Linked DNA regions of Tribolium castaneum. The protein of the gene in region 2 interacts with the protein of the main gene of each other region in a pairwise test. Links are inferred from orthologs where the notes say so. Each region holds a gene or a part of one and is shown on either strand. Other genes may lie near its edges.

What was found.
Region 1: the proteins of Su(var)2-10 (region 2) and lwr interact in a two-hybrid assay, tested with the Drosophila melanogaster proteins (2 studies listed by BioGRID). The link is inferred for Tribolium castaneum from reciprocal best matches to the Drosophila melanogaster genes Su(var)2-10 and lwr.

What each region holds. Positions count from the first base shown.
Region 1 is NC_087399.1:9,253,738-9,258,204, forward strand, and holds the start of lwr (SUMO-conjugating enzyme UBC9-B), read right to left. Parts: upstream 3,121-4,467; 5' UTR 2,973-3,120; intron 2,921-2,972; 5' UTR 2,914-2,920; coding exon 2,848-2,913; intron 2,799-2,847; coding exon 2,715-2,798; intron 2,663-2,714; coding exon 2,400-2,662; intron 1-2,399. Other genes in the region: transmembrane inner ear expressed protein, read right to left, coding at 3,259-3,344.
Region 2 is NC_087396.1:21,169,049-21,173,367, forward strand, and holds the start of Su(var)2-10 (E3 SUMO-protein ligase PIAS2), read right to left. Parts: upstream 2,956-4,319; 5' UTR 2,670-2,955; coding exon 2,643-2,669; intron 2,492-2,642; coding exon 2,322-2,491; intron 2,271-2,321; coding exon 2,129-2,270; intron 575-2,128; coding exon 1-574. Other genes in the region: Grip75 (gamma-tubulin complex component 4), read left to right, coding at 3,254-3,301, 3,349-3,764, 3,812-3,977, 4,025-4,319.

The DNA.
Region 1 (4,467 bases), on a different chromosome or scaffold from region 2:
CATTTACGGTTAATATCATTTATTAGCGAGTGTTAACAAAATTTGAGTGTAACATTTTTTTAACTATCAGGTGTATAATTCGACCCCATGTTATGTATGACCAAATGGCAACACAATTAAAATTCTCTCAAGGTCATATTTTCAATCGGCACAATTTTAAAGGAAAAATTTTAAAAAAATTTTTAGGTCAAGGTCATTCAAGGTCGAATTTTTCAAAAACGGGGCATTTGCACAAACTTTCAAGGTCATATCTTTGATCTAGAGGCTTTTTAAAGCAAAATGCAAAAAAAAAATTTTCAAAAATCCAGAAGTAGCTAAAGTAAAAATTTACCAACAATTTTTTTAAATTCATTGCTCTGAAAACCTGATGCTAATCAAAGCCAGTAGATATACTAAAGTAGCGACACGGACCTTGACAGGGCAACAATAACGATTATACACTCTACAGATGGCTCCACCATCAAAATTCAAAAACGTACGTCAAAAATGTCAAGATTTTTTCACGTTTGAAAAATTGGTGAATCAGAACAATGAATTCGGTGATCGTCTTTAATTTCACCCTGGTTATTACAGTTTATGTGTACAGATACCATGAAACCTTCAAACTTGTGCTTCACTCACGTAAAAGTAAATCAGATCGTCCCTAAATTCAACTGAACATTGCAATGAGAAAGGCTTTTAGAATGCGCAGAATACAGCAACTCTTATGGACATTTCGAAGAAGGTGCTGGCGCTTCAACAGTGAATTCATTCCTTAAAAGAATTTGAACTTTGTATTTAACGAAAAAGCCAAAAACACGTTTCAAAATAATAGTTGTTTGATTTAAAAAAATTGTGATACTTACATTTCTAATTTTAATAAACTCCTCTCTAAGTGTTTTTACAGTTTATCGTATGTAATTACTCCAAGATTTTAAATTGGTCGATTTATTTTTTTTTAATTAAATTTAATTTTTTCCCTCAACACTATTAACAACTGCTATGAAACCAAGACATTTTTCGCAATAAGAATAGAAAATGTTTTCAATATTACCCGAGAGGTAAACCGCAGAGGAAATCAGTGTACAAAATTGAGTAAATCAAGAAATTTTAAGGAAATCACTTTAAAAATTTAGGGAAAAATCAGAAGGAATCATGATTAAATTACAGGTGTACAAAATTTGGGGTACGGTTTACACCTCGATATTACCTAAGAAATAGAAATAATACAACCTGAATTTCTCTTTATTATTTAAATGTTGCATACCATAGTTGCTGTAAATAAGTGGCTATAAAAAGTCCACCAAACTTCGATGCGCTACAATTCCCAGATTTAGATGCATTAAATTTTGTGAAACGAAGGTCAGTGTAAGCAGAGCGGTCTTAAATTCTTTCCCATTAGGACAGAATCTAATAATTTAGAAGAATTTTCAAGGAAGTATTGTTTAAATCTACCTGAAATACTTATTGAAAATTTGGTATCTTAGAAATTTCTCTTTCAAGTTGGTACCTAACACTTTATGTTTCTGAAACAATTTTTGTTTGAATGAGTTTCCAGTATTCTCACACAGACGTGCTTCGTAATGTGGACGACTTTGAACAGTCTGGAGGCCCTTTTGTTTAATGTTTTTGGTGTCGATTTATTATTTACGTGATTTAAGCACAGGTTTGAAAGTTCCATGAAATCTGTTCATAACCAATAACCACAGTAAAACTACAGATGAACGCCAGAATCACTGTGCTCTTTACCAATTTTTCAAAAGTGAGAGAATCTTGACAGTTTTGACGTATGTTCAAAATTACTGACAATTTGGCGAACCTTTAAAATTACAGCGTTATTACAAAAAATGTCGAGCCTTGGAAAACTAAACTGCCTGTTTAAATACATTCTCGATTTAAATCTATCATCTAATGTGACCTTTAACGAATATCTCTTTAGAGCATCCCCTTTAGCAATTTCATTTAGTGAAGATTAAACGTAGAAACAGAGACAAAACGCACTTACTAAGGCTTTTCAAGGCTACGCATTTTATGTAAATAATGCGGTATATGTCGAATTTCGATAGTTGCGCCCTCTCTAGAGTATATAATCGTTATTGTTGCCCTGTCAAGGTCCGTGTCGCTACTTTAGTATATCTACTGGCTTTGATGCTAATGGATCAACTGCGCCCTCTGGTGACATTAACGGAACTATCGAGGACAATAACGCTTTATTTGTACTAATTTGTATTTCGTATCCTAACCTTTAGATGTCCGTAGTGTAACCTTGTCCATTTATTGTCTTAGTGCCTTTTCTTTACGAAACTAAGTTTTCATTTTCATGGATTACTAGATACGAAATTTCCTTGATCACGTGATCACAATATCCACAGCACTCTTGACTACGTCAAATGTAAACACCCCGTAAAAAAACCACTTACCAGTAGATTGTGTAGGCCTCTGCTTGTGCTGGATCTTTAACATTGGGTTCATTCAACAAGTCCTGAATTCCGAGTAAAATCTGCTTAATAGTAATCGCCGGTCTCCAATCTTTCTCCTCGTCTAACAACGACAAACACACCGTACCTGACGGATACACATTTGGATGGAACAACGGTGGTTCAAATTTACATTTTGGGGGAATGCTTGGGTACTCATCTTTGAACAACATGCGTAATTTGTAATTTCCACCCTCCCATGGCGTCTACACAACAATGCGATAACCCAACAATTACTAAACAATGCAACAAACTTACCCCTTTTTTACCAGGAATTGAGCACTCCCAGTTCATTAGATTTAGAGAGCCATCTGGGTTTTTCGACGGTCGGGCCACAAATCCCTGCGGAGAAATGGATTACATGAGGGCAATTTTGTAAGGAATTACTCACAAAAGGATGTTCTTTGCGCCAAGCTTTGCGTTCTTCGGCGAGACGAGCGGGAGCAATTCCAGACATCCTAGAACTAAAAATCAGGCTCTACCTCAAAATTATCGCACGAAATGACCAAAACGTACTCTAAAAGTGGGCACTGGGGTATTTAATGGGGCCTTATTCAAACTCTAAAGGAAAATTTAACGGGCTTCGGTGCTTTCTTGACAGTTGACAGACAAAAACTGGGAAAACAGGTAGGGGAATTCGCGCAGACGCGACTTGTGTTGGCCACCCTGTCGCCGATTATTTGTTCCAGAACAATTTATTTATTCAAACTTTTCGTGTATGATTTTAAACAAATTTAACGAATACAAAAACCCGGATTTGTGTAATAATTATTTGGCGGCAAAAACATTGGCGCGAATTTGATTAGTTCGACGTCACTTGCTGCAAATCAACTTTTGCCTGGATCTTGGCATTTTCTTGGTCAAAATCCTCCTGAATGAGTTTCAAGGCTGCAAAAAATTAATAATTAGGTTCAATAAACCGTAAAATACAAGGTGGCTCAAAATTGACGATTTCGGAGTTCAGAACACTAAAGAGAAATTAATTCAGTAGTTCAAATACAGAAAAAAATAAAGATTCGGGGCTTTCCCATAAAGATACATTGGTTTGAGGGTGCACTTTAAATTGCGTTTTCTTCAAATACAGGCTAAAGGTTTCAGTGCTTATTGTTATTTATGGTAAACTACAGGCTGTTCCGTCTAAACCTTACTTTAGAAGTATTGAAAGCTCTAATAAAGAAATTTTTTAAAAGTTGGTAGTCAATCATAATCCGTTAAGTTCTGCCAATGAAAATATTTTCAAGATGGCAGCATTTCCGGTTATACCGGAAGTCGCTGTTAACTTTCTTATTTTAAATGAAAAGCTATGTTTTTCACTGCGTTTTTGGATTAGTTGAGTTATTTTAAGAGTTTTCCCTATACCTAAAATTTACCGTTTTTAGGATATTTAAGATTTTTTGAAAATTTTTGGATTTGCACCTGTCACTTAAAAAATTGGTAACTCGGTTAGTTTAGCGATTTGGAAATCATATTAGGAGAATTAAAAAAGAAGGCCTTTATCTGTTCTTTGGTGTGTTTAAAATTGAAAATGAAGTTAATAAACCCAAAAATTTTAAGGTTAAGTTTGGACAATTTCAGGTACCTATAACTTAATTATTTGTTATTCTTTTTTAGAAATTTGAAAACGCCAAAGGAAAGTTCTAGGCTTCCTCTTTTAAATAAGCTGAAAAAGATTTAAAATCTTTTAAAAGTGGTAGAGTTATCAGTTTTTGAACTGGAAGGTGCAAATCCAAAAAAAAATTAAAAACATTTTGTAATATTTTGTAAACGAATAAATTTAGGTTTAGTGAGAGCTTATGAAAAGAACCTTAAAATAACTCTAGTAATTCAAAAACGCATTAAAAAATATAGCTTTCCGTTTAAAATGAGGAACATGATAGTGACTTCTGATATAACCGGAAGTGCTACCATTTTGAAAATATTTTTATTAAGCAGGACCTAAAAGGTTATGGTTGTACACAAATTTTCAGATAACTATCATTAGAACTCCCAATACTTCTAATGTAGGGTTTAG
Region 2 (4,319 bases):
ATTTTTGTACCAACGCCACTGAAATGGCATACCCTCGTCCGTAATCCGGCGCCCATGACACCGTAATCATGTTGGCCACGATGGGGCTTAACTTAACCATTGGCGTTATGTTAACCGGTCTTGGTGGTCGTTTCGGTTCAACCCCCGGCTTATTTGTTGGTATTGGGTTTGGTAGAGGACATGGTTTATTGTTAACTTTGACGATGACATTCGGCGGGAAAAAATCATCTTGTTCACATGTTGTTTCCAACAGACAGAATCTCAATTGTACTTGTTTGACATAATCGCATTTGACGCCTGGTCGAATGTCGCGTGAGCTTGCGATGTCTGTGGCTTGTTGTGGGGTGAGATGGAAATAGAAAGTGGCCTCTTGCATGCGTTGGTTGCTTTGTGGCATAAGTGTTGAGGGTTTAAGCAGATCGGAGATGATGTCGAAGAAGGGGAGACGACGGAATTTCACATCAGGATGGATGGGGAAATTGTTGGCTGCAATTGAACCTTGTTGGGATTTCTGTTGGGTGTATTGGGGATAAGGGTTGTAGACGCTTTGGTTGTACAGCGACGGCTGGCGGGTCTGCAAAAAAAAATTAATGCACTCCGACCGCCCATGCTCGTGTATTAAAATGTCTAAACATACAATATTATAATTTATAAAAAAAAAACAGAAAAATTGCTTTCAAAAATACCTATACAGGATGTCTCAAGTTTTAGTGACAGTCAAAAAATAAATAAAGCTAGTTGCACAAACGAAAAAAATTATATCGCAAACTATAGAGTTTCCAACACGCTTCAATTTGATGCTTTAACGTTATCCAAAATTTTCATGGTATTAGCGTAAAATGCAAAAAACTAATTAAAAAAATATTTTTTTTTGATTATTACAATCTTCTTTTATGATAAAAGTCGTCCTATTTTTTTATTAATTTTTTAAAAATTGCTAGTCGATTAATTGCTGAATTTGAATTTAATAGATTTTCGTGACAATTCAACAATTTATTTTTTAAGCAAACATTAATAATATTTTAATTGCAAATCAAAATTTGTCGAATTTAATTTAATTCTGAATTAAAATTTTAATTTCTTAGTAAATTCTCGTAGTTCTAATAGAAAACGAATCCTTAGTATTTTTATTATTCATTTTATTTATTAGGAATTGTAGAAAAATTCTGAAAAAAATCACATGAATAGAAAACAATGTAAAGTATTTAATAGTAAATGCTGAATTGTGTGCGTTTATTAGTTTTTCAAATATAGTAAAAAAAAACTTGTATTCATAATTGCCAAAGTAATTTTACTGGACTGGATACTGAACAGAAATTAATACAAGTTAGCGAAAGAACTGCTAATTTACCAATAAAATCTGTTCAAAAAGCTCCTAATACGTAAATATTTGCTAATTCAACTTAAACACATAAAACGGTGCGAATTTACCTCAAGTACATTCATTAATTTTGTTTTTTGATTAAGTCGATTTTCAAATAAAAACAAGAATTACCCAATCGTTCAATTTCATTAATCATTAACCAACTGCAATTCCGTATTAAAAGAGATGACCTTGCGTACGACTTACCTATGCATTTCCGGTCATTGACTCCAAGCCATTAATAAAACAAATAATAACCTAAACACAATTACGAAACATTCCACGAATAAGAAAGTCAGAATAATTGCATTTTCTCAAGAAATTTACAATAAAAACTTGGATCAAATGACCATTCCTAGACAATTTTATCATTCATATCGCATTTATGGCTCAAATACCAAGAGCCTTGAGTCATGTTTACAAATTTTTTATTAAGAAAAAAAGGACCTTCTGAGCAACGATGGGATCAGAAAAGTATTGCCTGCTTAAAGTCGTAACAAAAAGGGCTACAGGCCTCAGAAATGGACTTCTGAACGACCCATTCATCATCTCCCATCTGAACATCAGAAGGATCGTCCATTTCTGAGCCCCTAACCTTGGTCTATGTTCATCGAACCCGTTTCAGGAGTGTGTCGAAACACTTGGCGCCACCTATTTCCCCAAAAAGCAATCACTTACCAGTGGAAAAATTGCTCAATGACAGAAAAAAATGTAGAAAATAATATTTTTTTACGTAAAAAAACTGCTTTAAGTTAAGACACGTACGGATAATTGCCGACTGTCGATGTTGTAGGGGTGCACTGTGGCGGTGGTTCTCGGCACCGTCCCTTGGGGCTGCGGCATATTGTGGTCTTTGCTTCCTGGTGATAATGACGGCGTTGGTACGTTGCTCAAGGAACCCCCTTGCCTGTGAAAAGCGGGTTAGAACCAAGGGGGCGACCGAACGCTGCCAACTCACTGTTGAATACTTTTGTACAAGTCTCTGATTTTCTGATGAATCGGATGCGATCGCACTCTAAGGAGCTCTAAAGCCCTCTGTTGAAGCTCGGTTTTTCTTCCTGACTTATTCCGTCCAGCAAAACCCAATAGCATCTGCAGTTCGGACACCCGAAACGTAATTAGCATATTCTTGAACAAAAACAAAGATCAATTAACGCGCTCAAGGGGGCCCTGGCAACTGAACAATGCAAGAAATTAACGCACGATAAGCTGAAACAATGTGCAACTATCGGCCAATTACACAAACACCAACATGGTTAGGTGGAAAGGGGGCGCTTACCCGCAACTCATCTATGTTTTCTGACATTTCCTGTGGCTGATCCAGTTTGAGATCTCCTCTAACGTCACTTCAACCATTTAAACAAATGAATAACACGGCTTTTTGTCAAACATCAAGTGAGCTAGCGTCCGATCGTCAATTCAAAGCCTACCCAATAGGGCGGTTTCAGGGGGTTAAAAGAACGCCCCACGCACTTCTGGCACACAGATTTGGGCTATTTTTCGTGGCGTCACTTCGAAATGCACGATTTTTGCCAAAATAACAAACCAACAAACGATTTCACATAAGGGACTGCGCGCTGCCAACACTACAGCGCGAAAGCGAAAAGCACCAACACAAAAGTTCAAATCTACGACAAGAGAAAACAATCGCAAATAATTTAGTTACTCCAACTGTTGTTAATTCAAATTGTTATCGTTTCGAAGCAACATTATCAAAACACATTGGACACTTTTGGAAATTTATAGAAAAAAAAATGTTTTGGGTGCCACCACACAAAACTAAATATTTCTAACAATGAAAAATTTGGTGGGCAGGTTGGCAGCAATTTGCTAATTCAAAAATTGATGTTTTGAGGTTAAATAATTTTATTGGTGGTAAAAAAGGCCATAATGATTCACGAGATACTGATTAACTTGTTGCACAATTCGGACGATTCGGTATTTGTGACCGCTTTGTGGAGCCCCCTTGCAATTGTTTGTTCCAGTTGGGCAAACTTGACGAACTCCAGGAGTTCCTGCACCCGGGGGAGAAGCAACTCCTCCACCACATCATGGAAATATCCTCAAACCACAACTGGATCGTCTCATTTTGCAAAAAAATCCAGAACTGTAGTGTTGACCAACACGGTCTCTACATCAAGGCTTTTGTGAACGGTGTGCTTGATGTTTTGGGGGATTACAAGAGCGAAATTGTCAGACTGGAAGATCAGTTCTTGCAAAACCCCGAGCTCCAGTTAATTTTCATTTCAAGTTGCTTGGAAAAGTACCAAGTATTGTTCAATGTGATTATGTCGATTATTCAAGTCGTGGAGAAGGACAGGCTCCATGGGTGCCTCCTTATGGGGCGGCTCCACAAATACATCTACTGTGGCGTGGAACCTATAACCCAAGCTGCGAAAAAGTGAAATCCCACCCTTGAAAAACCACTTAAATGCGGTTTTCTTACAGGATAACTCACTGCTTCAACAGCATTTTTTACCGCCACTTGTGCAACTGGATCATTTACGGCGACTTGGTCGACCTTTATAAAGAGTTTTTCATCAGCGATGGCGAATGCTGGGACGAGGATTTCCTCTACCCTGAGCAAAACGAAGAAAGCACACTGACACGAGTTGTACGTTGAATTTTTTCGCTAACCGTTTTTTTAACAATTTTTTGCAGAAACACCGAATCAAGCGCCCACCACCTGTCCGCAAATTCACAATAGTCTGGTCTATGGTTCCGATGTTTATCACTGAAGATACGGCCGAAAGCATACTTTTCATGGGCCGAATCGTATGGATCGTCAAAAACCACCAGAAAACCAACACAGATAATTACCAAAACCTACACAAGCCTGACGTTTGGGACGGCAAAGATATAGAGTATTACAAGAAAATTCAAGCGCTCGAGACGCAAATTTTCGACCAGATGGAGTTCCAGAGAGTTATAGAGGAGTGCAGAATCAAGTTAACCA